4 linked regions of the Schizosaccharomyces pombe genome follow. The gene in region 1 interacts genetically with each later gene. Each region holds a gene or a part of one and is shown in the gene's direction. Other genes may lie near its edges.

Region 1 (8,338 bases):
AAATTAGCAAAATGGGAATTCTCGATATTGTACCTACTGGTGTTATTACAGGTGACAACGTTTTAAAGTTGTTCACCTACGCTCGTGAGCACGGATTCGCCATCCCTGCCATTAACGTCACCTCCTCCTCCACTGCTATTGCTGCTCTTGAGGCTGCTCGTGAGGCTCGTTCCCCCATCATCTTGCAAACCTCCAACGGTGGTGCTCACTTCTTTGCTGGTAAGGAATCCTCCAACGAGGGCCAAAAGGCCTCCATTGCCGGTTCCATCGCCGCTGCCCACTACATCCGTTCCATCGCTCCTTTCTTCGGTGTCCCCGTCGTCATGCACTCTGACCACTGCGCCAAGAAGCTTCTCCCCTGGATGGACGGTATGTTCGAAGCCGATGAGGCCTACTTCAAGATTCACGGTGAGCCTCTTTTCTCTTCTCACATGCTTGACTTGTCCGAGGAGCCCAAGAAGGAGAACATTGCTCAAGTTAAGGAGTACTGCAAGCGTGCCGTTCCCATGAAGATCTGGATCGAGATGGAGATCGGTATCACTGGTGGTGAGGAAGACGGTGTCGACAACTCTCACGTCTCCCACACCGAGCTCTACACTCAACCCGAGGACATCTGGGATGTCTACCGTGAGCTCTCCTCCGTTACCCCTTACTTCTCCATTGCCGCCGCTTTCGGTAACGTCCACGGTGTCTACAAGCCCGGTAACGTCAAGCTCCAACCCGCTCTTTTGGGTCAACACCAAGCCTATGTTAAGGAGCAACTCAAGACCACCAACGACAAGCCCGTTTTCTTCGTCTTCCACGGTGGTTCCGGTTCCTCTGTCAACGAGTTCCGTACTGGTATCAAGTGCGGTGTCGTCAAGGTCAACATTGACACTGATACCCAATTCGCCTACGTCGAGGGTGTCCGTGACTATGTCTTGAAGTACAAGGACTACCTTATGACCCCCGTCGGTAACCCCGAGGGAGCTGACAAGCCCAACAAGAAGAAGTTCGACCCTCGTGTCTGGATCCATGAGGGTGAGAAGACCATGACCAAGCGTGTTCTTACCGCTCTTGAGGACTTCTACACTGTCAACACTCTCTAAATTTGTGGTTTTTGAAAGATGGAAATGATTGAATAGACGGTGGGCTTCATTAAAATTATATTTTTTTGTCCCCTTAATGAGAGTTCATACTGTTTTGAAATTACGTGTTTGAATATAGAGACATTGTTTTTTAAAATTACCATTGTAAAAGCATAAGAGATATTTGAAGTAAAGTAGGGCAAAGTAAGTTAAGAAATTTTTTTGGATTGGATTTGTAAAGTGTTTTTCAAGCATACTGTATATTGTTAAGATTTTTCTTTTTATCCTTTTATTCATCTTCCTTAATTGGTTAATGTGTTCTTAGGTATATAAATTTACAAAAAAAAAATTTCCGATTCCACATGACAATGAATGAATAAATAATATGTCCGTGCGTTTATTTGAATTTAATATATATCGTTTGGCAAATCTCGATGAGTAGCTTAAAACAACATAATCGCTTGAATTTCATGTGCTTTGTGTACACAGTGTGCATTGTTTAGTAGATCAACTTTTTCTTCTTTCATTGCAATGAGTACGGGCATTTTCCCTTTTCCTCCATATTTCACGAATCCATGTTTTTTTTAGATAACCCTTTCTCAATCAAAACTCAGCATGCTTCTTCAGACTTGACCACTTATATTGTCAGTACACTACTGCTCCTTAAAAGCTTACTCCAAGTCAAGACATCAAGGTTGGAGCAATCATTCTCTTCATGAGGTACTATGGCTGATTTTCTTGCTAGAGATTATCGCTCTCAAGGTGAGGCGGCGCATGAAATGCTGCCGACTTTCCTTATAGGAAAAATCTTGAGAGAACGCATAGTAGATTCTATTTACTGGAAAGAACAATGTTTTGGATTGAATGGTATGTGTTCTTCATTGACAGAAAAGGAAAGTGTTTTTACATATTAGAGTTCAAGTACGATTACTTTCCAAATCGATATTTTGAGTGATATAGCCTAAATGAACTTGATTTGGCAAGCAAAGAAACCAAGTATAGGTACTTGCTGTTTTAATCAGTCCTCAAACTGTTATTCCAAATTCACTGACTAATACATCTTAGCTTGTTCATTGGTGGATCGTGCAGTACGGCTTGAATATATAGGTGGTCAGTATGGAAATCAACGGCCCACCGAGTTTATCTGTTTGTTATACAAGCTTTTACAAATTGCACCTGAAAAAGAAATAATTCAACAGTACCTATCTATTCCTGAATTCAAGTATTTACGTGCCCTGGCTGCATTTTACGTTCGGCTTACATGGGATGATGTGGAAGTGCATCAAACGTTGGAACCGCTGTTAAGAGATTATCGGAAATTAAGAATTCGTACTAATTCTGAGATCCGATTAACATATCTGGATGAGGTTGTTGATGATTTGCTAAATGCCGAAGTAGTTTGCGATATTTCCCTGCCCCCATTGCGAAGTCGACTCCAACTTGAAGATTTGGACTTGCTTGAACCACTTTCATCTTCTTCAGACGAAGAAGATGATGATGAAGAACAAATTAGTAAATTGGAGAGCAATGAAGGTGCTGTAGATCGGAATATTTAAGGATAAGTAATATACAAAAAAAGAGTAAAGCGAAGCACGCATTTTGTGATGCGTCTACGATTTAACTTGGAATGACTCTACAAGGAAAAGTTATGGATTGAAATGGTTTTACACTTGAACTTATTAAAAAACAATTTATGAATAACAAACATCTAATCAAATAGATTTGTATATTAATATATATCGATTTCACATATTATCGCAAATACGCTATTTTTTCTTGTAAACAAATTTCGATAGACTTAGTTTACAGCACACTAAATATTTATAAAATGTCTTTGATACGCCACGGAATTTTTTTCACACCATACTTTAACGAATCACCCCATTCCGTCTATTTTCTTACGTTTCGTTAAAAACATGTCAGTCCACTTCTTTTTTGCTCACATATGAATTAACACGACTTTTCTCTTTCATCCATTACCATACTCGAGCAATCCTAACTTTGCTTATCGGGTGATCGATTTTAAATTTTTTTACTTATAGGACGTCCAGTAGCCTTTATAAGTTCATTGACAACAATTGGGTTGTTGCTGAGAGTTTGTTTACTGCGCTCGACTCTTGCTATAACCTAATCTTAAACGATTATCAAGCTGGATTTCCTTCTTGCTAAGAACATTATTTTATTTTACAACTCATTCAAGAAATTATTTTGCTATCTATCGCCTTGGATAGCTTTTAATGCGTCAAATTTTGGATAATTTGTAGCTCGATTAGAAAATTCGCTCAACATCCTATACAGTCACAGAGATAAAAAACCCTAAGAGTTAAATTCAATTTCTCTTTATTGTTGGATTTTTTAACTCGCTGTTAAATTCCGCTTGGTTCTAGCTGGAAATTTTGTTAAATATGCAAAGCTCAATTCCGTCAGTTTCCGTGTCGGTCGCTTCTCCTGCAATGGAAACTCCAACAAAAGCTTCGCCTGACAGCAAATCACCCAATTCAGTGGGTGCGATTCCTTCTTCATCCCCTTTGGCTTCATCGACAAAGGCTTCAACTTCTACTCCCTTTGTGGAGAATTGTTCCAATCTGTTGTGTGATTTGGCTAGCATTGTCGAGGACTCACCTCCAACCTTGACCAACACCTCGTTGTCTCCCCATTCGTTTTCCCTTTCTGATATGGAGTCATCAATGAGCAATTGGCTTAACCCTTTTGCGTTCGACAATACGATGAACTCGGCGCCTCCTCTGTTTACTTCGACCAACATGGGCTCCCCTAACTCGTTAGAAAACTCTACAAATCCTCTTCTCTCTAATTGCGGCTCTCCAAATTCATTTCAGAATGAGACCTTTACCGGCCCATCATTGAATGAGTTCGATGCCGATGATAAAATTCAGCGCCAAATGAAAATCCTTCACTCTGTTGATACAATCGATCCATCGACTGTTCAAAATTATCCTTCAGCTGATATGTCAAATCCAGAAGTCAAATTGAAAACCGAAGAAATTATTACACCCATGGACACCACTTGCAAGCCTGAACCTTCTGCCAAGAAAATAAAGTTGTCTCCTTCCTCGGAAGATTCTTGCTCAATTCCTGAAACATTACCTTTTTCGGCCCCCAAGTCTAGAGGCTCATTATCTCCTTCTGAAACCCCAGATTTTGTAGCCGGTCCTGGAGGAAAACCAAAGAAGACAGCTCATAACATGATTGAGAAGAGATACAGAACCAACTTGAACGACCGAATTTGTGAATTGCGTGATGCAGTTCCTTCACTTCGTGCTGCTGCTGCACTTCGTTGTGGTAATTCTCTGGACGATGAGGATTTGGGGGGTTTGACACCCGCTCGTAAGCTTAACAAGGGTACAATATTGGCAAAAGCAACTGAGTATATCAGACATTTGGAGGCCAAGAATAAGGAACTACAGAAGACTAACAAGCAGCTTTCAGATAGGCTGGCTTTCTACGAAGATCCTTCGATGGCTCCTCCTTCTAACGATACTCGAGCCGTTAACTCTGTTAATGTTGTTTCCTCATCTGACTATTCTGTTCACCAATCTTCTCGACCAAACCTAACCCAAAGAGCTTTTACTTCCCCAACCCTAAATACCATGGGCCGCACAGCACTAAATGGCATGGTTGGACTTGGTCTATTCAATTATTTTGGAAACGATTCTTCTCAATCTGTTTATGGTTTATTCGCTCTTCCACCTTTTCTTATGTCTCCATTCACAGGTACTGTTCTCTTTAACATGCTGAAAATTGGTGTTGTTTTACTCGGTTTATTCTATCTTTTGCACGATAACTCTCTTTTCAAAGGCTTCAAGGGTGAAAAGAAATCTAAAGTTAGTACCAGATCTTCCATGTCACCATCCTCAATCTTATTCCGAAAAACCGTATTCGAAAAGTATTGTTTATTGGACCATTCTACTTCGACTATTTCTCTATTTTTTGGATTACTGATCTTCACTCTTAAATCTGCTTATGGCTATTTGACTCATCGTTTGAGTGCTCTTTATACCTCCTCTGAGAATTGGGTTTATAGTGAGCAACAACTTGCTGAAGTTCGCAACATGGAAAAGCTTTTGGATGCCCAATTAATGGGTGGTGATGCTAAAGTTGACCGTTTGAGGCTCTTAATGGTATTTGCCAGTTCATTTTCTCTTCCTCCTTCAAGTCATACTTGTGCTTTACAAGCAATGTATTGCCAACTAATTTTTTCCAACACCTCTGTCCCATCCGCTATCGTTTCGAAGTGCGTTGCTTTCTTCTGGAATGCTGCAAAGAAACAACATAGCAAAAGTTCTGTACACGCGGAGTTACGTGAGCTTCCTGAGTGTACTGCTAACCTAATTGAAAACTCCCACGCTGACGACGTTTTCTCTCCGAATATGGTTGAGCGATTGTGGGTTCTAGCAAAGTGCACCCGTGACTCTGCTCAAATGTCAGATAGTATTATTAGCTCCTTATCTGATGTTTTGGTTTTATCTCCTCTAGAGGTGCTTGCCTCATGGTATGCCGCTGATTTGTTGGATGCCCTTTTGATGGAAAGTTTGAGCCGTAAAGTTGAGATATCCGAGATTGAGGAAATTATTTCCCTTTGTCCTAAGAACTCCTCTATTATTCGTCATGCTTTACTAGCTAAATTGGTTTTGTTCCCCGAGAATACAGCTGATTCTTTGAATGAAGTCCTTGCAGCATACAAGAACACTTTGGATTTATGCAGCCAAGATAAACGCAAGCAGTCAAGCGTGTTAAAGATCAACTTATCCAAGCTATTCACACTCCACTCATGCCTATCATTAGCACTCCAACGCCTTGGATACGGGGATGTTTCTAAACGTATGTATCAGGAAATCTTTGTACCTGATAGTGATGCAGACATTACACCTTTATCTTTTATTATTTCCTGGACCGCTTTGAACACTTTTGCTCCTATTTGCACATCTCCAAAGGAAAACGATGTCGTTGAAAAGATGGCCATGTACGTGCGGACGGCCATCGGAACTTTGAAAATTCAAGATTTGAAATTATCTCGTAAGTTAATCAACTCTTGCATAGATATTGGATCTCGCTTACAAGAAGATTTGGGTTATGTTTCATCAGCTTAAATTGTCGATTCTCGAGCTTTGAGAACAGTTAGTATACAACGCTCATCTATTGCAACTACCTTATTATTTTCCATGATTGTTATTTCATCAGTTATTTTGCGTATCATTTTTTAGTTTTAATTATTCTTTTAATAAATTACAGTTGTCGTCGGTAAGAGCAGTGATAAAAATATGCAATTAGAGTTATTTTGTTGTATCAAGCTAGCACAATTCACCATTTGAGTATATTTGGTGATTAAATAAAATGAATAGAGTACAATTTGAGGCATGCTAAGGTTCATCGAACTAACTATTTTTTTAAATAATGACACATTGGCAAGATTAAAAAATTGGATTCTTCTCTTGCAGTTAACTCTCTGCTGTTGATGAAGATGTGTTGAATCTTAGACTGCTGATATCCATTTTATACCAATTGTATAAAAAAAAGAATGTCAATTATTAATAAAATGGAAATGCATAAGATAGATAAGAGTGGTCTGAAGTTTTACGGTACAGTACGTAGTTCCGTCCTTACTGAAATCTCGGGAGTAATACGAACCATTCACCAAAGGTAAACAAACTACCAAATTGTTTTTATGTATTATTTACTACTATATTGGTTAACTTATTCTGAATCCTACAACCTAAAATAAAAATAAATAGACTCGCTTTTATTATTTGTCGATTCAAGAACTTAGCTCTCCTTTGAAGATGAACAAACATTTTGCAAAGCTTTCACAATGGACCGGTGAAAAATTTGGTTTTGATCGTCAGAAGACTACATTATCTGATGATTTTTGTTCCTTGAAAGGTGAAACGGATGCCTGGCTTGTGGGAATGGATAAAATTCATAGAAGTTGCACAAGATGGGTACGGAATATGGATAAACGAAAGGGCCTGCTCGACGAGAAAGATAAGCAATTACCTGTTACTCACGTTGGATCGTCTTTTGTAGAGTTAGGGCAAGCATTATCGCATTCTTCAAGCAATTCGCACACTTATATCATGTACGGAAAAAGCATGGTTGAAATAGGGCACCTACAGGAGGAGTTTATGGATTATTTGAACAATTCTTTTTTGGCAAATCTAGAAAATTCTTTAGCCGAGTTTAAGGCTTTAGATGTGAAGGAAAAGAAGATGGAAAATCGACGACTTGTCTTTGACGCGCTTTCTACAAAAATACAGAAGGCCAAAAAAGAAGAGTCAAAGCTTGAAGAAGATTTACGGAATGCTCGCGCAAAATACGAGGAGTCTCTGGAAGAGTTTGAAGACAGAATGGTTCAATTGAAAGAATTAGAGGTAAGTATTATCGTCCTAATGACATTCGTTACCAATTTGATGCCATAATTAAACGATTATTAGGCCTGCCTAACTTATCTTATATGACTCAATATTTTTGTTAACTAATTTTTAGCCTGATCGTGTCGAAAACGTTGTACGACTCCTACAGATGCAAATACGATTTCATCAAAAAAGTCTCGATTTGTTAAAGGGACTTGAGATGAACGGATTTTCCAAGAAGAGGGATAACGTTAATATTCCAAAGCGTACTTATTCCGCAAGATCTATTCCATCGAATATTTCTTCAACAAATGTTGCAACAACGCCCTCGAATACCATTTTTGAAATGGATGATACTTTAAAGGCCGATAGTTCTTCAAATGAATATCATTCTCCCACCAATACACTCCCTTCTTACCATACAGAAGCTGACCTGGACAATTCTTCCATAGCTTCTTCAAATAGAACACAGCATACTGAAGATAATTATAACAAGGATGTTTCGGATGCTCAAAATTCATTGGGGCAGTCTGCTGTAGATTTAACAACTCCCTCATCACCTCCAATCCCCCGTCATACCAAACCCAAACTGTCTACGACTCAAAGTACCCCAGTCAAACCGGCATCGTTACAAAGTGAGGAGGATATCCAGTTAAGTTTTAAACAACCGGAATTATCTGCTTCGTCGGCAGAATTGGATGAAAAGTTGAAGTCTCAGTGTAATGTATCCCCTTCACCTTCCAACATTTCTGATGCTCCCCCGAGCAAGCTTAATCGTAGTTATTCATCTCCACTTGCTTCCATTTCATCCAGAAAGGTAGTACGAATGAAATATTCATTTGAGCCAGAAACAGAAAATGAGTTAAAACTAAAAAAGGGAGATCTTCTTTTAGTTTTAAAAGA
Region 2 (7,408 bases), on another chromosome or scaffold:
AAGAACAAGCAATTTCGTCACAAATCCAAGCGTGAATACCTCTTCGACCAGAGTATACCCACAATATGTGTTTAAATCCAAAGTCCTCATGAAAACAAATATCTAAAACTTGAACTGCGATCGTAATAAATGGCCAGCATTTTTCGCATATATTTGTTTTTGAGCAGCAGGTTCGTACATCATCGTAGTCAGTCATATCTATATCAAAAACGAGTTCCTTTTTAAGCGGATGAAATGTTGACTTCCTTATTGTTTTCCTGTCCCTGGGATTGGCACTATAAACGGGTCCAACTTCAAATCGGCTTGGGCATAAATTTAAAGCTTCCTTTTTTAACTCTTCCCAATTTGAAAAAGATAAATAACGAATATAAGCATCATTAGGAAGTGTGAACGCGAACTCCCGATGAGCAAAATCATTAGTGACTACCGGACCATGATTTAACCATTGAAATAAATATTTCCACGGAAAAAGATGGCGATAATATTGAATCATCGTCTCTGAATCCACAGCTCCCTGTTTACTATAAGAAAATTGTTAGAGAATTTTCATTATTTTAGAGGCTCAATCGAGTCCATAGTTAAGATTGTTCAGTATTCACACTTACGCGCCATCAAGTGTTCCGTTTGCAATTATCTCATCCAAATCTTTGTCGTCCAATTCATCGATTTGAACAGTCATATTGTAATAAGTTTAGCTAAAAACAAAGGTTATTTACATACAGCTCAACCATAAATCAAAAGGAAACGACAGCGTACTTAAACGTTATACGTTATTTAAATTTAAAAAACTGCTTAACGTATGCGTAAACATTCAGCAGTAAAATGGAGCATTCATTAGTGCATCTACTTTACTTTTAAAGCATAATTAACATTTCAACTTTGCATTTCGAGATACGTATCAAACTCTGTGCAATGGTATTTCTCCACATATAGAATTAGAAGAAATATATGTTTATGTAGATTAGCCTCTCTTTTTGTTTTGAGTTTGTTTTTGCAGTTGTTTGAATCGAACACTACAAAATTGAAATTGGGTCCAGGCAGTGCATTAATTGGCAAATCATGCACGATGAATCACGAACTAAACAAATATCTAGTATAAAAGCGCTCTTAAAGAAGTGGGAACATGAGTACGTCCATACGAACAATTGCAAACCTTCTAAGGAGGATGTGAAGAAACAACCAGAAATAGGTATGTAAGCCAAAGATACACTTGAATTTTTGAAGCAAACTAACGAACTTTTTTAGCGCTTTTATATAAGCAATACTACGAGTTGAAACGCGAATCCTCCATTACCCCTAAAAAAGCAAAAACAAAGGTCGACTTTAAGTTTCAAACTCCTACAAAACAGCGTGCTGAAACTGAAGCGAACGAGAGTCCTAAAGCGCCCCGAAATGATTATCTACAGGTTACTCCGAAAACTGTGGATAAAAGTCTTTTAGGTCCTACTCCACAGTTGTCACGTCGAGTACTTAACCTTCTTGAAGACATGTCTCCCATTGCAGATTCTCATGTGGATCAAATTTCGGATATAAAACATAACACTAGTGAAATTTCATCAACTATGATACCGACTACTCCATCAAAAAATCCCGAACCTGTGGCTCAACATACTCCCACCGTTCTTGAAACCCCCTCTTCATATCGCCTTCAAGTTTATACATCTCCTAACTTACTTCGAGTTAATGCGCCATGCCGAAAAAGTCTCAGTGAAATGCTTCGTGAGTTAAAAGATATTGAAGATGATTACGGATCAAATGAAGAGAAGATATTGCAGGAGTTTGAAAGCTTTAGTAGCTCATCTTCAGAAAGCCTTGTAGATAGAGACATATCACAACCTATGAAGAAAAAAATTAAACGACAAAATCGTCTTGTTAAATGTAAGGTTTTCTCCTGTTTGTACCTGAACTAACGTTTTAGTGCCCCCTTCAATGAATCTTTCCAAAAGTCATTTAGAAGGTCTTCCTGAAATAGACGAAGATGCGGAAAATGGCATTGACGACAATGAAGATACAACTGCTAGCAAAGATTCGTCACCATTTTTAGATCTGCAGAGTGAACGACAAAATAAAAAGATTATGAGAAACGGGCTTGTTATTGGAAAACAAGTAAGCCAGAATTATTCCTCTTACAAATTAAAAAAACGTAAATTTCGGCGTCACAGAAGCTAACATATAATTTGTCAATCGGAACTTTGCTGTTGTATTTAAAAAAACACATACTTTCTGATCTTCCTTAATAGGATATACACTTTTTCAATGAATGTTAAAGAGGTATATATATTTAATAAATCATGCATTCAATAAAACCTGGAAATAGATTTTGTGGGTTTTTGAGATTTAAATGAAATAATACATCATGAGTTTGTGGTATCCTGTTAAAAAAATTTTGGAAATATAAAAGTTTGAATGAATCATATATTTCTTGTTCTTAATCTTCGGGTAAAATCAAATTAGTTACTATCGAACGATAAACGTTTTATATTTTTACGTAGGCATTCGTCCAACATTAAATCTAAGACTGGAACGTTTTGATATACGAATATCATGAGGACGTAAGGAAAGAAGAAGTACAAAAAAAATCGAACCTTCAATATTGAAGCTGGCGAGAAAGACAAATAAAAAAACAGCTTCAAATAAGTTTGGATCTATTGAAATGAGGAATACATGAAAGCTGAATATCATCATTACTTTACATGGATTTGCATAGCTTATTCATCCTTAGGGGACAGCGATGCCAAATTTCCTCTTAACTAAATTTTTAGACAACCTAAACACCATACGTTGATGCTAAACTTCAAAACATGAATAGTCATTTCCAAATGTCATTTACAACTTAAGAAACCATGCTTTAAATAATAGATAGCTTATAAGATACAGGCAACAACTGTAATAGATTTTGGTCGCAACTCTTCAATTGTATTCAAAACATAGTTCAACCTACAATCAAGTTAACAAATCTTTTTAAAGACAAATAAAAGGGCTCTAGATAATCAGAATCCAAAAGAAGTGCATTGTGTAATTAACAAATACAGTCAATACGTTTCATTGTTTAAGGTAAACTTCTTTACTACGCTCTCTATATATTGTATTTTATACGGGGATAACATCAGCTCTTGTAGCTCAGTGGTAGAGCGCTTGCCTAGTAAGCAAGAGGCCCAGTGTTCAAGTCACTGCTGGAGCAGTTTTTTTTAAATTCCTACTTGATGCGGAATTGAGTAGAATTAATAAAACTAGCACCTGTGCAAATTATCACCATTTCATAATAATAGCTCCTATTAAACTGCTGTTCACCGTTTCTTTTTTTGTTTTCTATCACTTCGTAATCAAGTTTTAGTTCCTTAACCTTTGTCAATGAATGTGCTTTGCAGTTCGTTAGCAATGCAATAAGGTAGCATTCACTTTGCTGAAGTATAGTGGTCATGAATCGGTACCAACCTAGCCAAAACCAATACCATGTCTGGTATATCCAATGCAGAAAATGGTAAGGCAATTGTGTCTTCTGGAGTTTTAAATTCCGTTTCAGCATTTGTAAGGCGCCATAGGACATTTGTTTACACTATTGGTGCTGTTGCCGTTTTTGCTACAGTTGGGGGTGTTTATCATGTACAACAGAAAAAAGCTAGTCATAAACGTTCTAAAAAACTTAAGGCTCATCAAGATAAGGCTGAATCCAAAGTTAATGAAGGAAAAAATGAAGCTGCAAAGGTCGTAAAAGAAGAGGATCTTAAAAGCTCAGAAACTGGAAAGGATGTTGAAACAGCAGCCGCTGCTGCTGCTGCTGCAAAAAAGAAGAAGAAGAATAAAAAAAAGGTTAAAGCCAAGAAGGTCGGCGATTCTTCTGTCGATAAAATTGCTACTGAGGAATCGGTAAAATCTATGACGAAGGAGGAAAGGGCAAAATTGGCTGCCGAGTTAAAGACTCTTGGTAATAAGGCTTATGGACAAAAGGAATATGCTAATGCTATTGACTATTATACTCAGGCTATCACCTGCTCTCATGACCCTATTTTCTTCTCTAATCGTGCAGCCTGTTATGCAGCCATCGGTGATTTTGAGCAAGTAATTAAGGATACAAGTGAAGCTCTTTCACTTGATTCAAGCTATGTGAAAGCGTTAAATCGTCGTTCTGCTGCTTATGAGCAACTTGGTAAATTGGATGAAGCCCTTATGGATAGTACCGTTTCCTGCATTTTCGATGGCTTCGCTAATGAGAGTATGACTGCTACCGTTGAACGATTGTTAAAAAAGGTTGCTGAAAAGAAGTCGTCTGCTCTTTTAAAGGAACGTCCTCCTAAATTGCCAGCTGCCAGCTTTATCCAGACTTATCTCGATTCATTCCATGCTCAACCAAAACCTTTGTTTGATAATAAATTTGACGGTGATGCTGCTTTAGCAGAGGCTTATGAATATTTAGAAAAGGGTGAATATCAACTTTCGTACGATAAAGCAAAGGAATCCTGTCTGGGATCTTTCTCATCTCCTTCGGTTAATGCTCGCACTCATAATCTAGTTGGTACTTTTAAATTTGTATCTGGTGACTCTAAAGGTTCGATGGAAAATTTTAATGCAGCTATTAAATTAGATCGCAAGTTCATTCAACCATATATTCGTCTCTCAGCCGCTTATTTAGATGAAAATGATAATGAAAAAATGTGGAAGGTACTGAATGATGCAGAATCTGTTGATAAAACCGATTCGGATCTTTATTATCATCGTGCACAAGTTAGGTTTGTTTCTGGTGAGTTTGCAGAAGCCATTTCTGATTATCAAAAGTCTATTGCATTGGATGACTCTTTTATTTATAGCCATATCCAACTTGGAGTAGCTCAATATAAGACTCATGCAATTGCGGAATCAATGAAGACATTTGAAGATTGTAAAAAGAGGTTCCCTAATTCAAGCGAAGTTTATAATTACTTTGGTGAAATACTCTTAGATCAACAAAAGTTCGATGATGCTGTCAAGAACTTTGATCATGCAATTGAGCTTGAGAAGAGAGAACATCTAACAATTATGAGTGCAATGCCTTTGATTAATAAGGCTCTTGCTGTATTCCAATGGAAGAAAGATATATCTCAAGCTGAAAATCTTTGTCGACAGGCTCTATCGGCTGATCCCGAATGTGATATTGCAATTGCCAGTATGGCTCAATTCCTATTGCAACAAGGTAAAGCTCGTGAAGCCCTTGAATATTTCGAGAAATCTGCACAACTGGCTCGTACTGAAAGTGAAATGGTGAATGCGTTTTCATATGCTGAGGCTACTCGTACGCAAATTGCCTTGACTGAAAAGTACCCACAGTTGGTTGGTCGTTTAAGCAATCCTATGTAAACGAGATTGTATATGAGAATTACTGTTAGTCAAAATAAGCAGTTGGCGAAAACATTTTGAATGCTTTAAAAAGGTTCCAATTTTAATGTGGCTCGGAAATTTTTTGTTTGGATGACAGCAAGTGCTGAAAATCCTTAAACCAAACGAAGTTTTGTATACGGAACATGTTTGCTAATGTATTCTGGTTGACGGATTTTTGATTTTAACTTGATTCTTAGGGTTAGCAATAATGATATTTTGTTCGCTACTCCCTAAAATGTGAACTTATTATTTCTTTGTACTTCATGTTTAGTAGGTAGTGTATTTATTAACGACAGCAATAGCAATGAAATATTATACCCATTGAGATTCAACCATTACAGAATGTTATCATAATTTAGGACTCTAATTTAATATAAAATGGTAGGTGTCTATTAATTCTCTTTACCAAATAAGTTGAAATAGGCAGCTGAAGGTTTTTAGGAAAACAATATTTGGTTTCGTCATCAAGGGAGATGTAACCTAAGGGAGATATAACGCAGTAACGATTTCTCACAATCTTATATAGTGAAGAAAAAGGAATAGAAGAATATCCTATTAGAGAATAGCAAGCATCTTGAAGTGCACACCACTCTTCGCCATCGTCTTTCAAACAACAGAGGAATTTTATAATAATTACACTAAAATTGTTTTTCTTGAAGCAATTGCTTGAGAGGAAGAGTTGGTTAACGAAACTGAAGGTTCACTTATAAAACAGTGAACTTCGTGTTTTATCACTCAACGTAATCTTGACAATTCCCATGGAACTCACAAGACCGTTAGGTGATATCTCCTCATCAGCTACAGTTACCATTGAAAGTACGGAGGAATCCGCGTCAATAAGCCATGAAGAATCTGAGAATGTGCTCCATTTACAACCGGAACCAGTCAGAAGAGTTAGATGGACGGTAAGCACTGTAGATAATGAGCATATGAATAAAAAGAAATCGAAAGGTAAGTGAAGTTCTGGTGATTTTACGAAGAAGAGAATAGGCCTTGTTCCATCCTTTGGCAACAAGCACAACTTTCAGACTTATATTGATTTTAAAAATTGGACAGTATGAGTCTATTTATACATATCTACATTCTTTATCTTTGATTTATCAAAGCACTAGAGGCTTGATACACGAACATAGAAAATTAAAGGATTTAACATGATGTGATGCTAAATATTACTAGTGTGCTGTATCTTTCACAAACAGAGAAAGTTTGATGAAAGTTCATCCGATTCAGATAGTGATTCGGACTCGGATTCCTCTTGTTCCTCATGTTGCAGTCGCAATGCATATGAACGCGCTTAGGTTGTTCGTTGAGTCCCCTATATTGAAAATGAGATATAAGTCATATGTCTTAAGTATTTTTCTTAATATGCCAAAAACCCAATTCCAACATTACTTTTGAAACTTAAAATACGTTTTGAAAAGGAATCTCGATGGCTTTAGCAGTCATACCTTTGTAAAGGTTTTGAAAAATCCCACAATAAATGATAGCAGCTTTTATGCTTTTCAACGTTAGCCAGATACTCATCTTTTTCTTTTTAATGAACTTTACATCAAATGTATGAAAAGTGTCAAAGAAAAGTGCGGGACTTTTGATAAAAAAGAGACTGTTTGATATACTCGTAGATTCTGAAATAAATTATAATGCAAAACAGACATAGGTGCTTTTTTTAATTAGTTGGACATATCGGTAGTACAATAAGAATAACTTATCACCTTCGTCCACGTTTCATCCAGCTAGAATTCAAGTCGTAAACTCTGCGTTTATGTGGGGTAGCAATGTTCATTTCCTCGTCATCCTCATCCAAGACTGGGCGACCGGCGCGTACAGTTCTATTGCATACAATATGAGGCTGTAGTTGTGTATCTTCATTTCTTAAGACAGAATTGTCGTGATGGTTGTGAACGGAGGAATCGTTATCGCTAGAAGCGAGCTTCTCGAGGCAATACTGTGAAATAAAGTCAATACTGGCACCTGATTCAATAAGTTCAAGAACCTCCCGAAGAGCCTGATTGTACCCAGCTTTTTGTGCTTTTAAAACTTCAGTAGTAGACGCTTG
Region 3 (7,396 bases), 950 kb from region 1:
CCTGAGATATCGTATTCAGAATGAAATCCAAATATTTTATTTTTCAACTCCTAAATTAAAAAATGATTTAATTATAAAGGTTACTTTTCAATGCTGGTTTAAATATTTCGTTTGCATCTGCAATGGTATATTTCTGCGTAGCAATGTACGACCTCATATTTTCAACAAAGATGACCACTGAGAAAATTGTTGAGCAGCTATATGAAACTGGAGATTATGAAAGGTATAAAAGATAGGCTTTCTTTTTTAAAAAAAAAATTTTATAACTAAACAACAATTTAAAAAATGTAGGCTAGCAAATGAATTAGAATACAAACTTGAATCCTGCGGTTGGACAACTCAATTACGTGACTACACTCGGGGAATTGTGAATTCCGATTCTAAAATTGATTTTCAAAAGCTATATGAGAGCGCCTTGCAGTCTGCAACTGAAAGTATTCCCGATTCGGTTAAAATGGACTTGCTCAAAGACATTAAGACCTGCGTTCTAAAGTTGGCCAATCCTCCTGAGTCAGCAAATGGAGGGAATAAAATGTAACACAAAAATAAAAAATTATTGTTTTTCTAGTTTTTTGGTGTCGAAGTGATGCACCATGCATGAGGGTACTCTTTGGTTACATTGGATCATTTGAGACTGAAACAGTGAGAGGAAAAAATAATAAGGATATTACTAACAACGATTCTATAATAAAAGGTACACAATTAAAAATTGTTGGATTCATTATGTTATGATACGGTTTCGTTCCTCATTCTATATATTTGCAAATATGCTCTTATTAGCAAGTCGAAGAATTAATAGCAATTTTCAAAATCTTGGAAGAAGAGCATTTGCACATAATTATAATTTTTAAAATTTTCTACAATATTTGATAGTGCATCATTTCGCTTTGTACAAATGTAAACAAGTTTTCATGCAGATATTAACAATTGAAGGGCCGTACAGCTTTAAATCTTTGTTATGGGATAACTGATTATAAAATATGACCAAGATATAAAAGCCATCGAGTAATCTCAGGAAATCACAATAGTTCATGAAGTATAGTATAAGTTATCCATAAAGTTGCGCGTAACGATCAGTAGCATATTATTTAAAAAAAAAAAAAAAAAAAAGGAAAAAATAGTTAAATGGATAGTTAATAATCGTACTTCTCTAATTTACTTTCTTTTCTTTTTTTACTATTTAATCAAACACTGGGATTTCTTATTGTTATTGATTTCGGCCCCCACTTGGGACAATTTTCCTTGTAAGTTATAGACTGCTTGAATTGCGTTTTGACCTTTATAATAACCCCACTTAGGGTTTATTAATATCTTGACTACTATACAACTAATAACTATAACCTTATATGGGGGTCAATAACCCAATTTGTTCAGGCAAAGTATTTAATGCAATATTTGGCCATAGACATAAGTTTTGAAATAGAAGTATAGAAACAAATTGTTCCCTTTATTGAATATTAATTTTTAAAAAGAAATGAGATTAATTTCCGAAACCTGAAATGCGAGTTGTGGTAATAAAACTAGCTACGGTTTTTTTAAGGAATAAAAAAATAGTACTTTAAATCACAAACATCTTGAATAATTCATTTATTTGATTCAAAAGCATCAAAAGAAAGTTATCTAACTAATCAGAAAATGGAAAAGAAAACAGATTACTGTTTAAGATTCAAACTCTTTTAGCCTTATTTTGGGACTATACTGTTCTTTAAGCTCGAAGCGTTACTATCCAAATATATAGCAATAGGCAGAATTACGGATAGCACGTTGTTTTAAGCAAGCGAAGAATTAACCTGCGTTCCCTATCATTAAACAAATTCACAGTTACCGAAGTCACTCCGTAATAGGAGGTCTAAGAAAGTCTTACGATAATTCAAGAATGTTACCTATGGTGAGACCCGAGTCCATAAAAATGGGTGGGATGCTTTTCATTGCTACTATTGGGAGTTTGCCAACCACTAAAATTTTTACCTAATTGCACATTATATTCAGGTGAAATCTCAAATATAAAAACGGGATGGGGGATACTCAACAACCAACAGTGCTGGATAGATTTGCGCCTCATGCATTAGATACCAGTGAGGCAGAAAGACTTTCACGGGAATATCACAAAAATGGACCGTATAATCATGTTGTGATTCGTCCTCTGATCAATGATACACTTCTTCGAAATGTTCGTAAGGAACTTATGGAAAACATACATTTTACAGAGAAAGTAACTGATATTTACCGTGTTTGGCAAACTGGTGATCTAGCAAACTTGGATGGATTAGACAAGAAAGAGCAAAACATGCTTAAGTATTTGCGTCAAGTTCGTGATGCTCTTTACTCTGAGGAATTTCGCTCTCACGTTCAAAAGATTACCGGCTGTGGCCCTTTATCGGCTAGCAAAAAAGATTTGTCTGTTAATGTTTACTCAAAAGGATGCCATTTGATGAATCATGACGATGTTATTGGTACCAGGTGCATTTCCTATATCTTATACTTGGTAGAACCTGACGAAGGTTGGAAACCCGAATATGGAGGTGCACTCCGGTTGTTTCCTACATTACAACCATCCTTTCCTGCTGCTGATTTTTGTCACTCCATTCCTCCTCAATGGAATCAACTCTCTTTCTTCCGAGTTAAGCCCGGACATTCATTCCATGATGTTGAAGAAGTTTATGTAGATAAACCTCGAATGGCTATTTCCGGCTGGTTTCATTACCCTCAGCCTGGCGAACCTGGTTATGACGCTAATTACTGCGACAATACCGTTTCTACTTTGCAGTCTTTAACAATGAAACAAATGGACTTAGAACTTCCCCGGTTTTCATACTACCCAGTTGTTAAGCCAGAACCTTTATCCAAACAGGATACTGATATTTTAAGCAATTATATTAATCCACTTTACCTGACACCTGATGGCATTGAAAAACTATCAAAACGCTTTTTTCAAGATTCTGTTATTGTTTTAGTAGAGTTTTTAAATCAGGAATTTGCAAACACTCTCCTTAAGCGAATCATCGATGCTGAAAGGCAGCCCACTCCTATGCATTCTTCCGAAGTGTCATTCCCTTGGAAAACTGCCATTCCTCCTCATAAGCACAGGTACCTATATTTAGATCATGAAGAGTTTGGCCCTGATATTATTTTGCCCATGGATTTGCAGCGCCTTCCTGCGTTTCAGCGTTGGATCCAACTTGTCAGTGGCTTACCCCTTCGTTCCTTTCATCAAGTTGGTCGACGATTCCGCCCTGGTTCCGATTTTACGCTTGCTACTACGAATGACACAGCTTTACTAGAAGCTACTCTTTGCTTATCTCCGGGGACAGGCATTGCGAATACTGACAATGGTGCATATGATATTTATATGATTGGCGATGAAGATCCTGATGTAGATGCTGCTGTGTATAGGGGTGATCAGCAAGATGACAGTATTTTGCTTTCTTTGCCAGCCGCTTGGAATGTTTTTTCTTTGGTTTATAGAGATGAAGGTGTCCTTCAATTTGTCAAATATGTGTCGCGTCAAGCCGAATCTAGTCGCTGGGATATATATTCACAATGGAATCCCGTTGCTGAGTAAAGGCAACATATACTTAAAAGGGGTTACTTAATTTTTTTTTCTCTAATTTTTTGTCTTATTTTTGAAAGTTTTTCCCTTGTGTTTTTTAAAACCCACTTTCGTGTTGATAGTGTGTATTACATAAAAAGTTTTGGTTTACACTTTTACTGCTTTCTTAACTGGTATTCTTGTTGATTTAAAGTAAGTGTTCAATCGAACCTGTTTAAAAATCGTTCTTTTTTATTAAAAAGTCCGTAAATTTACAAATATCTAAAGTAAATTCGAATACCAATTTAAACATTAATTTTAAGATAAATAATAGATCCAATATGTTACAGTCATCATTTTTGTCGTAATCATAACACATTTATGGCAAGATGTAATAGTTCCTGCGGAGTTTTCCGAGAATTTTTGATATCTTTAGTAATACTGGGCCAAAAATAACCATGATGAGGATCAGCGGTTTCAAAACTTGTAAGCACTTCTTTCTGTTGGTCTTCGTTCCCAGCCTCTAAGCTATACTTATAAAACCAACACCACACATCTCCGTTATCTTGGTCAGCCTTAACAGCTTTTAAAAACCAACTACGCGCCTTATCTGCTTTTTTTTCCAGCCACAGCATCCTGGCGATGGTGCAAAGTAAATGTGCATTGCCTTCACATTTCCTTAAAGCATCTGTAGCACGAGTTTTACGCTGTGCGCGAGGTTCAAGCCATATAGCCTCCGTCCACAGCAAACCCGAAGATGGGCATTCCTGCAAGGCCTTAGCAAGGGCTGCACGAACTTGTGAAATATTCCCCGCCCGGAGTTCCATTTTTATAAGTTCAAGCCATAAAAATTCATTCTTAGGATTTTTAACCTTAGCCCTATCAAACACAACTCTCGCGCGTATAACGGACTGCTTTTCTTCAAGTTTGGCTAGCAAAAGCCACAAAGGTATGGAATAAGGACAAACTTTTGTGCCAGCCAAGTATGCGTCTCGAGCAAGCTCAATCTGCTCTTTATCTTCAAAAATTTGACCCTTCATCATGTACAACTTATCATAATGGGGATAAATTTTCAGTGCATTTTCCAAAAGTTGTAACGCCCGATCTTTTTCGTCCAAAATTCGTTCAAGCGAAATGGATTTAGTCCATATTCGTTCAGTTCCCGATTCGATACGAGCACGGGCAAGTAGCTTTCTGGCACGTTCATTTTCATTGTTCACAAATTCAATTCTGACAGCAGCAAGCCATATCTCTTCGCTATTAGAATTATATTCAAAAGCTCTCCCAAGAATATTCCGAGCACCAGCAATATCATTAACGTTTTTTCGCTCTTTAGCATAAAGCAACCATAAAATTTCGGCTTTAGGACATGATTCTACAGCTTTTTCTAAAATAGAACAAACACTTTCTGTTGTACCATACAGCTTTTCAAGTTCAACAGCTCTCAGCCAAAGTTTCTCACTTTTTGGATAGACTCTTAAAGAAAAAGCAAAAACAGCACGCGCACAATCTATACATTTACGAGCTATAAAAGATTGAGCATCATCTAACCAGGTGTCGAATTGATCTTCTTCATCCAATCCAACACCGAGGCACGTATTAATTATAGCTTGTGCAGTAATCACTGCCCCTTCAGTTTCGCATTTTTCAGCCTCGGAAAGCCACTGATCGCGTTGTAACATACCACCAGTAGCCTGTAACTCACTTACACCACGAGCCATTATTTTTTCCACCCGTGATACATTACCTTGCTGTTCTTCCAAACGAGCAGCAGCAATCCAAACCTCATGGGAAGTACGGATGGTTTGTCTGGCTTTATTGAGCACCTTTTTAGCATTCTCATAAGTTTCAAGTCGAGCAAGAGCTAACCATAAATCAATGGACATGGGTATTAATTCAACGGCACGAGCTAATAGTATCCTTGCATTATCCACTTCTTCTTCTAAATTTACAGCTTCTTTCCATAAGCTTACAGAAGTCGGGTTAAATTCTAAAGCTTTTTTTATAATCCTTTTTTTGTGCTGAGCTTGATTTTCAAGTTTTTCGGCTTCAAGCCATAACGTCACTGACTTTGGTAATTTTTTAACGGCATTTGCAATAATAACTTTTGCTTCTGCAGCCGGGTGTAGTCGTATTGCTTCTAGCCAAACATCCTCAGAGCGAGAACAATTTTCGCAACCTTTTAAAATTAAAGATTGTGCTTGAGATAATTTATTCGCGACCTCTTCAAGCCGCGCAGCAGCTACCCAGCCAGAGGCGTGCTTTGGATTCGTTTCAATAACACTTTGCAACAATTTTCTAGCTTTTCTTATATCACCCAGGTCATTGGCATTTTTTGGAACCATACTATTCAGACTAGTTAAATACCCCTTCGGATCTATAGTCGATGGTGAAGTCAAATTCGACGAAGCTTGTGCTAACTTGATACCTAAAACTTTGTCACGAGCAGCTCCAATTTCAACAAAATTTGTTTTTGTCCCATTCATATCTGGAGTTTCTGTTCCTGCTTGAGTATCCACTGCAAAATTAGAGATAGCTTGATTTTCATTGCGAGCACTTGCAAGAACAAAATCACTTGTTGCATAAAATCTTTCACGTCTCGGCTGTTTAGTCCTTTTTTTACGAGTTAGATCGCCGGGTTCTGGGATATTATTCCAGTCTTCATCTGTCAAAGTGGATAACCCACGTTTTAAGTCCGCAAATTGTGAAGAAACCTTGGGGTTTTCTTTTTCATATTTTTCTTTCTGTAGCTGTTCTTGTTTTTCACGTTGGGATTTTCTTCTTTTACTTAAATGTTCCTCTACAGATTGATATATTTTATCAGCTTCTTCGTCCTCATGATCATATGGAGCAGTAGCAAACAGCGCTACTTCATTGTCAGGATCCTGATAACGAGGATCGATATCTTCTTCTTCCTCTATTTCTGATTTCCTTTGTTCAATTGCAGCCTTTATAGATTCTTGGGATGGCAATTCTTGAGCAGGCCCAAGATCTGAACGCGTTGTAAATCCTGTTGCACCACGTCCTAAACCTGCTACATAGTTAGGAGGTGGCTGCATATTCAGAAAATCTGGATAAAAGTTTGCCATTCTAATTATCTGCAATTAAATGCAATAAGCCGAGCCTTTCGGCTTTATAAATATCTGGTAGTGGCTTTCAAATTTTAAAAGTAGGCAATACGAAGAAGAGAAATTAACTCCTAGCAGCTTTACTACAACAAAGTTAAAAAGAGCCATTAGGTAAAAGTAAATTTAGAAAAACTTAAGATAGAATATTTCTTAAACAAAATAAATTTCCTACTGTATGTAATGATTTTACAATCAAACGATATATAAATAAGCATTGTGATTGACTTGTTATACACTGAACCGCTAACACACGAGTATTTATGATTTAGCATTTGATAGCCAAATAAATTTATTAGATTTTTTGCAACAATTTTGAAAAAATGCATGAACAGTGTTTTCTTCCTTTCTTTTATTTTCCTACTTTTCTTTGAAGATGAATTTACACTTTGTAAATCAATGTCGTGTAAAGTATGCAGAACGGTTGAAATTACGAAAAATATTGTTCATCACAAGCTTTGTGAGTATTGGAATTAAACAAATCTTAATTGAATCCGAGTGATAACTGGACAGACGTTGCAGCAATATTTTTGCATGGCCACTACGTTTGTCTTTTAATGTCTCGGTATATTATACTGGTGTTTCAAATCAATGCTCATCGTATCTAGTATGAGTGTACCTGGACACATCAGTCAAATTTATTTTCGCTTGTAAATTGTCTTATTCTTTATCATAATGCCAAACCATTGTATTTAGAATTTTATTTGCAAAGTAATTTACCAAAACATATTTAACATCTTAA
Region 4 (7,779 bases), 840 kb from region 1:
ATACTGCTGCTTGCCCAGTACTATTTGTTACTGAAGAGTGTTGTTGATATTGCCATTCCTACCGCTACTACAACCACCACAGTACCACCACCGCTTTTTTTACGCATCCTTTCCCCATCTCAAACGTACGGGATAATTCTCTCAAAGCGTGGAATCAAACCCTTTGTTTTAATTGTTTTTTACTCGTTCACCTGCTATTTGGTGGGCTGTCTGACTTTTGTTTTCTCATTGGCTAGTTGGATTGTTGGACAAGGTTGTCTTATCATTGCATCGATATACCTCATTTCCACCCGTTGATTGATCAACCCTTGTAAACTTAGCCTTTGTTTGCTATAGAAACGGCTTAGTCACTTGTCGTTCTTATTTTGGAAATCGTTCTGTCTTTTCCCTATATCGCCTACTTCACGTTACTGTTAGTTTTGATTGAGCGAAGCAGTTTTAACGATACGAATCAAATTGAATTGAATTTTTTTATTCACAATCCCAATCATCGTCTTATTTTTTTTTAAACCACCATCAATCTTCCTTCTTACAATCCAAGTGGTTTTGCTTTAACTTGGACTTTGTGGTTATTATTGGTTTTTTGTATTTATAATAATTTTAGGATTTCGGGTTTACCTTTTTTTGTTGATATAATATATATCTTTTTACTTAGAAAAAGAAAAGAAAGGAATATATACATTTCCAAAGTGTGAATTACTTGGTTTCCCTCTCTTTACTTGTTTTTGTTGCTACTACTACTACTACTACTTTTGTTGTTCAATTGGTCTTGTCGTCGTTTCTCGGTCTTTCATTTTTACTCAGCATCTTTTTAATTGTCTTTTTTTGGTGACATTTCCTCTCACCTGTACTATCTGCCCCGTTAGCCTATACTATTCGTGTTTAACGTTTTAAATTTTTTCCTTCATTGCATTTGTTGAAGTGCAGTTTATTTGAAGAAAAATTATTTTTGGCTTTGCTTTTTTTTCGCAATCGTCTCTTTCTTTTCAGCTTTAACGTTGTATAAATTAGATTAAACCTTTAAAAAGAGAGAAAAATAGATACCTAAAGACCTTTTGCTTGGCTTGTTTTATTATTTTCACAAAAAAGTTTTTAATATTTTTTTTATCTTTTCTGGTTTTTTTATTCTTATTTTTTATCTTTTCTAATCTTTTTTTTAAACTCTTTGACTTTAACATGGCTCTTAATAGTCAACCCCCTTTGTCCCCCAAACCCGTTCCCTCCAATACCTGGAAGCGGATCGGCATCGATGCATTTGCCGCTACAGCCGCCAGTGCCATGATTTCTCCCTTTATCTTGACGATCGACCGCTCAATCGTCGAAAATACTAGTGGCCGTTCTACTTTATTACGCTCTGTTAGTCGCTCCATCAAATATGTTTTATCAAAGCCAGGCGCCTTCTTTTTTAGCGCTCCCTTTGCCCTGGTCTTTACATTATACTCGGGCACATATATGACGGCCAATTCCATAGACACACTGGATAACATTCGTCACAAGAATCCCGTCTTCAAGGCGGAAACTTCCGGCTGGTTTAAATTCTGTTCTGTCACCGCTGCAAACAGCGGTTTATCCATCTTGAAGGATAGTTTCTTTACCAAATTTTGGGGCACCGGTTCTCCTCGTCCTCTCCCTTGGTCTTGTTACGGTCTTTATGGACTTCGTGATGCACTCACCATCGCCTTTTCCTTCAACATACCTCCTATGATTGCTCCATTACTCCCCGGTGGTTTAATCACCGCTCAATTGCTCACCCCCTGTGCCGTACAGTTTATTAGCACACCTCTTCATCTCCTGTCCCTTGACATTTATAACAGAGGTGGACCTAACATATCAGCAGCCAACCGCGTTATGCAAGTTCGTAAGCATTTACTAAAAAGCACATTCGCCCGTATGGTTAGGATTCTTCCGGCTTTTGGTATTGGCGGTGTTACTAATCGTAAATTACGAACCACTTATTTGGATTCGCTTCAACAACGTACTATGAAAAAACAACAATTTGCTCTTGCTTAGTCCATACATGACGTTCTTTCCTTTTTCTTTCGGCTATTATTATTATTATTATTTTATTATTATTATTTTTCATCATTTTTTTATTATTCACTACTGAATAGTGTCTAAAAAGTGTGTGGACTACGGTTTAAACCTATATAAGGAAAGTGGCATACATCCTGTTATCTGGAACATGAAGCTGCATACTTTTTTGAATGAACTATATAGTGTATGTGTAATGAAGGTTTCACTTAAAAAAGTTTTCTACTTGATTTTTATGCGTCTGAGTTTTTTCTTTGTCTGGAGAAGAATTTGAAGAAAAAAGAAAAACTGCAAGAGAAAATAAAGAGGCAAAGAGACACATGGTTTTCTTTTGTACATTAATAAATAAAATTTGAATTCTATTTTAAGTCATTTTCGTTTGTGTTTAGTATGGTTGAGTATCAAATTTGTGTATGTCAAAAAACGAGCAACCGTAAAGACCGCTTGTTTAGCAAATTTATTCTTTTATCGTTCGTTTACAAACAGCTTTTGCCGATAGTGTTTTACGGTCTTTGAATGGGCTTTCGGTAGAAACCTAAAACCGATAAACAGAGTGAGATTATTTCTTTTTGCATTCCAATGTTGACCAGAAAGACGATAGCTTATTCCTATCTACTAGCTTACTGAATGGTTCAAAATGTACCGTACTACGGTAGCCATATTAATTGGTTCGTCAAAATAAATCCTAAAGTGTATAGCAACGGTTTTTTCAAAGCTCACCTACTTTTTACTGATCGTCATTATAATTAGTAAAACAATAAACACCTACTAGTAGAATCGCCGATTTACCATAATTTCGTATTGCGCTTAATTCTCTTCCCGAGGTATTTTGTTATTGCGATGGCTTGCCACAATAAATTAACTATTGTACGATTGCCGTCACACTATTTCTATCTAAAAATACTCTCATTCCCATTCCCATTTTTATCTCTCCATCCATACTTACTACATATGTTGGATATCTATATCTGTCAAACTTTAACTTCGTTGAACATGCTAATTAACCAAAATTAATACATGAATTTATTAAATAGTTTTTTATTAATTAATAGAAATTTTCAAAAAGTAATCATTGAAAAATCGAACTATATTTTTTTTTTTTATATTATAGCAGTATATAGGTGCAGGAGTTACCAGCGACCAGGTATTAGCGTTTGCCAAAACAATTAGCTTTTCTCCCGAAAGGATTGCTTTTTGAAGTCAATTACTTTAGAAGCTTTCTAGCATCTATTTGATTGTTCAATTGGCATGGTTATTGTGCTCATCATATAAAGCGCAGTTGTTTCATTAATTAAGTATCTTAGCCTACATACTTCATCTTGATTTTTATAGATTCTTTAGAGTATTTGGATAAATACTTGACTTTTTGTTTAAGAGGCTATAGAAACCCTTGTTTGAGTTTCTTCATTTTTATTGTCTCGCGCTTTAGTGTATCTGCTTCAAAGTGGTTCAAGCTAAAAAAGCATAGTACTGTTTCGCTCTTTATTTCGCATCTGCCTATCATCAGACAATTCTGTTGACTCACTCGTTTTTTACACGCACATTTACCCTTGGAATAAAAGGCGGATTAAATCCCGAAGTTGAACACTCGTAAAATTTGGTTATTATATTTTTTGCATTATGAAGACTTATGAATATGTATTGCTGGTCATTATTTTGATCCTTAGCTTGTGTTACTTTATTTATAACAATTTTCTCAACAAGCCAAAGGCTCCTGAGAGGCGAGTCGTGGCTACCGACAGTATTGTCGAGTTGATGGAGGCCGAAAAGCTCACTGCCGCGGTTTTCTTTGGATCTCAAACTGGTACCGCTGAGGACTTTGCCTACCGTTTTTCAACGGAAGCAAAGGCAAACTTCAATCTTACCAATATGGTTTTCGATCTTGAGAACTATGATTTAACCGACTTGGACAACTTTGATAGATCAAAACTATTGGTATTCTTTCTCGCAACTTACGGTGAAGGTGAACCTACGGACAATGCGGAGGCCTTTTTGCAACTTCTTGAGGGCGATGATACCGTTTTTTCAAGTGGAAAAGGCATTGAAGATACTCCCTTCGAAGGAATTCGTTATGCAATTTTTGGCCTTGGAAATCATACCTATGAGTATTATAACGCAATGGCTAAAAAGGTAGATGCTGCAATGACTCGTTTAGGCGCTACTCGTGTGGGCAATCTAGGTTTGGGCGACGATGCCGCTGGTATGCTTGAAGAGGACTATTTACAATGGAAGGATGATACTTTACCTGAGATAGGTAAGCTGTTCCATTTGCAAGAAGTCCACAAGGAATACAATCCTATGTTTGAAGTTATTGAGAAGCCTGAAATTTCCAACACTAGTTCTACTGTCTTTTTGGGAGAACCAAGTCGTCAGCAATTGAAAGGAAATGTTGCATCGAAAGCTCCACGTTCTCAAGCTAATCCATTTTTCTCTTCTCCTGTCAGATCTCTTGAGCTATTCAAATCTGGAAGTCGTAATTGCTTACATTTAGAGTTGGATATCGCAGACTCTGGTATGCGATATCAAACAGGTGATTACGCTTCTATTTGTCCTATGAATCCTAGTCAAGCTGTTGATGATCTTCTCGAAGTTCTCGGTCTCAAAGAGAAGAGGGATACTGTAATAATTGTTAAACCTATCGATACTCTCGATAAGGCTCCTGTTTTAAGTCCTACTACCTATGACACTGTTTTTCGCTACTACTATGAAATATGTGGTATCGTCTCCAGGCAACTGCTTTCTTTTATTGCTCCTTTCGCTCCTACACCAGAATCTAAGCAAGAACTCGAGAAATTAGGCAACGATTATGACTACTTTAAGAAGAACGTTGTAGACTTGCACCTAAACCTTGCTCAAGTCCTTCGTCGTGTTTCTCCTGACGCTCCATTTACAAAACTTCCATTCTCAATGCTATTGGAAAATATGGCACACATGAAACCGCGTTACTATTCGATTTCCTCGAGCAGTGTAGTGCATCCTGACAAAGTTCACGTTACAGCGGTAGTTGACAAGAAAGAATGGACTGATAAGAATCATATCTTTTATGGACTAACTACTAATTATTTGTTGGCACATTGTCGTCATATGCACGGTGAAAAAATTCCACATCCAAATGGTTTGGAATATACCCTTGAGGGTCCTCGTAAAAACTGGACCGGAAAAATTCCGATGTTTGTAAAGAAATCTACTTTTCGATTGGCTCCTCCCGATGTCCCCATAATAATGGTAGGCCCGGGTACTGGTGTAGCCCCATTCCGCGGTTTTGTGATGGAACGGGCTAATTTAGCTTCTAAAGGAGTTAAAGTAGCAAAAACACTTTTATTTTATGGTTGCCAATATTCTGACAAGGATTTTTTATATAAGGAAGAATGGCAACAATACAAAGATGTCTTGAAAGACTCTTTTGAACTGATTACCGCATTTTCCCGTGAGCAAGATCATAAAATCTATGTTCAGCACCGTCTTTTAGAGCACAGTGATACCATTGCTAAACTTGTAGAAGAAGGGGCTGCTTTTTATATCTGCGGTGATGCTGATCATATGGCTAAAGATGTTGTGAATGCATTGGCTTCTATTCTGACCACTGTTGATGTTGACGGTATGAAAGCCGTTAAAGCTCTTCGAGATGACAATAGATTTTTTGAAGATACCTGGTAAGTTTGGAATTTATCCAGACTTTGCGATTACTTCAAGACTTAATGATGCCTTTTCATCTTAGAAATAGTTTAATACAATCATTATTCCACTCGGTATTTTTATCTATAGAAAACATAGTTTTTGTAGCAACTAACGAACAGTACTCTGTAACGTTATAATATCAAAAATAAACTGCCAACTTGAATTTCTTACTGCTCAAAAATGTCTACCGAAAATGCGAATCTACACAAAGTGCTGTGTTTGTCATGATTGAAAAACCTAAACCGACTTAAAGCTGGGTAACAAAGTAAACACTGGCAGTCGACTTCATTGCACTTCAATAATTAAGGCGATTGCGAATGTTTGATCAATTTACATACAATAGAAAGTATTTGATAATTCTTTTTTTGCTTTAAAAATACACGCATCAAGTTAGAGTACAGGATGCTATAAGTTAAATCCTCGGTCAATGTGTACTTGTCAACGCAAAACATTGAGTAATATGCGGAAAAGTTAAGTTTCCAAAAGTACAAGCATAATTAATACATGTATCCTAACTGTATAATAAAACTGAGCCTTTAAGTGTATTTTTTTTCTACGTTATCAAATCTAATGCAACACAATGCTATCCTTGATTTGTTTATTAACAGATTTCGCGCGCTCAAAAACTTACCTTTAACATATATTCAAACATTAAAGTATACATAATTTAAAAATTATTTACTTAAAGCATATAAGAGCGATGAATGGAATAATTACGCCTCAAAAACAAAAACAATTAATGTCTTCTCCTTCTCGTGATCCATTATCCACTACCGAATTGTCTACTCCAACAAGTCAAACAACTGTGGATGTCAATGACACGAAAAAAAGTGAAGGATTGGACTCTACAATTATACTATTAACACCAGGAACAAGCCCAAACGCAACGCCTGGTTCTAGCGAGTTAGGGCTTTCCAAGAAGCCAAACAGGTAAAGGGCTATTACAGATGTGTAATGTAATACTAACTAGGAATATAGTATAAAAAACAATACTTATTCTACAGCAGCACAGGCCGCGTATTTAAATAGGCGTGCTGCTGATCAATCAACCGTTATGACAACCGATCCTATTTCATATGCAAATAACAATATTAATAATGGAACACTGCCACAACAAAACGCCTACTATGCCAACTCTTATTATCCGTCATACTATGCACAGTCACAAGCCATTTCCAACAATCGACCGGGTGTCTCTGGATTCCGTCCTGCATTCAATTCTGTAGCTCCTTGCTATGGTTCACAATGGCAGACTCATCAGTCTGTTCACCCTTATCATGTTAACAATACTCATCAGTATTTAAAACCATATGTTCAGAATGGTATGATACACAGCTTATGAAAAAACTAATACTTACCAAACTTTTCGTCTTTTAGTATATCCTCAAATGCCCTCTTTAAATCAGCCGGGACTTCATATTGTCAATCAACCAACATATCTCGCGCCAGTTCCTTCAGCGACTGTGCCTACGAATTCAGTTTCTCTCTCGATGCCTTCTTTTTCCCAAGGGCAAAAAAATATTCCCGCTGCCATTAATCAAGAAATGAGTGTCGGTACAACAAAGGAGAATACAAATTACCTTTCTCAACTGGTTGGATTGCATCCTGCAATTCCTCCTGCCATTCCCAGCATGTTTCCCATGTCTCATGATAATAAAAAAAGTAACATGGAAAGCACTTCTCGTACTCGGAATGTTTACATTCGTGGTTTACCTCCCAACACTTCGGATGAAAATTTGTTGCTTTACACCAATCGTTTTGGTAAAGTTAGTAGCAGCAAAGCAATAATTGATATGGAAACGAATTTATGTAAAGGATATGGGTTTGCATGCTTTGAAGAAGAGAAATCTGCATTGATTTGCATTTCAGCCATGACTTTATGTGGATATCAGTGTTCATTTGCAAAAGAAAGTTTCAGTGCACGTCTTCAAAGTCTACAAGACACAGAAAGCACCAATCTGTATATTTCTAATCTTCCTCTTCATTGGAATGAAAGTGATATTTCCACATTGTTTAAACCCAGCAAAATCATATCAAACCGCGTACTTCGTGACTCTAAGGAACAATCTC

Evidence for each region.
Region 2: of sre1 (region 1) and tom70, extra expression of one rescues a mutant of the other (dosage rescue), as found in Schizosaccharomyces pombe (one study listed by BioGRID).
Region 3: of sre1 (region 1) and ofd1, extra expression of one rescues a mutant of the other (dosage rescue), as found in Schizosaccharomyces pombe (one study listed by BioGRID).
Region 4: mutations in sre1 (region 1) and ccr1 together harm fitness more than expected from each alone (negative genetic interaction), as found in Schizosaccharomyces pombe (2 studies listed by BioGRID).

The regions. Positions count from the first base shown.
Region 1 is NC_003423.3:1,688,356-1,696,693, forward strand, and holds sre1 (transcription factor Sre1), read left to right. Parts: upstream 1-3,038; 5' UTR 3,039-3,472; coding exon 3,473-6,175; 3' UTR 6,176-6,336; downstream 6,337-8,338. Other genes in the region: fructose-bisphosphate aldolase Fba1, read left to right, coding at 12-1,088; U4/U5/U6 small nuclear ribonucleoprotein complex subunit PRP38, read left to right, coding at 1,793-1,934, 2,133-2,623; SPOM_SPBC19C2.10 (BAR adaptor protein ), read left to right, coding at 6,866-7,453, 7,569-8,338.
Region 2 is NC_003424.3:2,429,939-2,437,346, forward strand, and holds tom70 (TOM complex subunit Tom70), read left to right. Parts: upstream 1-3,441; 5' UTR 3,442-3,453; coding exon 3,454-5,331; 3' UTR 5,332-5,685; downstream 5,686-7,408. Other genes in the region: DNA primase catalytic subunit Spp1, read right to left, coding at 1-521, 606-679; drc1 (DNA replication preinitiation complex assembly protein), read left to right, coding at 1,060-1,189, 1,246-1,878, 1,919-2,169; SPOM_SPAC6B12.13 (protein phosphatase inhibitor), read left to right, coding at 6,111-6,303, 6,529-6,650; SPOM_SPAC6B12.14C (uncharacterized protein), read right to left, coding at 7,061-7,408.
Region 3 is NC_003423.3:2,641,212-2,648,607, reverse strand, and holds ofd1 (2-oxoglutarate and Fe(2+) dioxygenase domain-containing protein 1), read left to right. Parts: upstream 1-1,970; 5' UTR 1,971-2,014; coding exon 2,015-3,562; 3' UTR 3,563-3,882; downstream 3,883-7,396. Other genes in the region: SAGA complex deubiquitinating submodule subunit, TREX complex subunit Sus1, read left to right, coding at 144-223, 292-538; U4/U6 x U5 tri-snRNP complex subunit Prp1, read right to left, coding at 3,898-6,618.
Region 4 is NC_003423.3:2,529,812-2,537,590, forward strand, and holds ccr1 (NADPH-cytochrome p450 reductase), read left to right. Parts: upstream 1-3,163; 5' UTR 3,164-3,651; coding exon 3,652-5,688; 3' UTR 5,689-5,783; downstream 5,784-7,779. Other genes in the region: SPOM_SPBC365.16 (uncharacterized protein), read left to right, coding at 1,177-2,010; spo5 (meiotic RNA-binding protein 1), read left to right, coding at 6,410-6,639, 6,688-7,031, 7,087-7,779.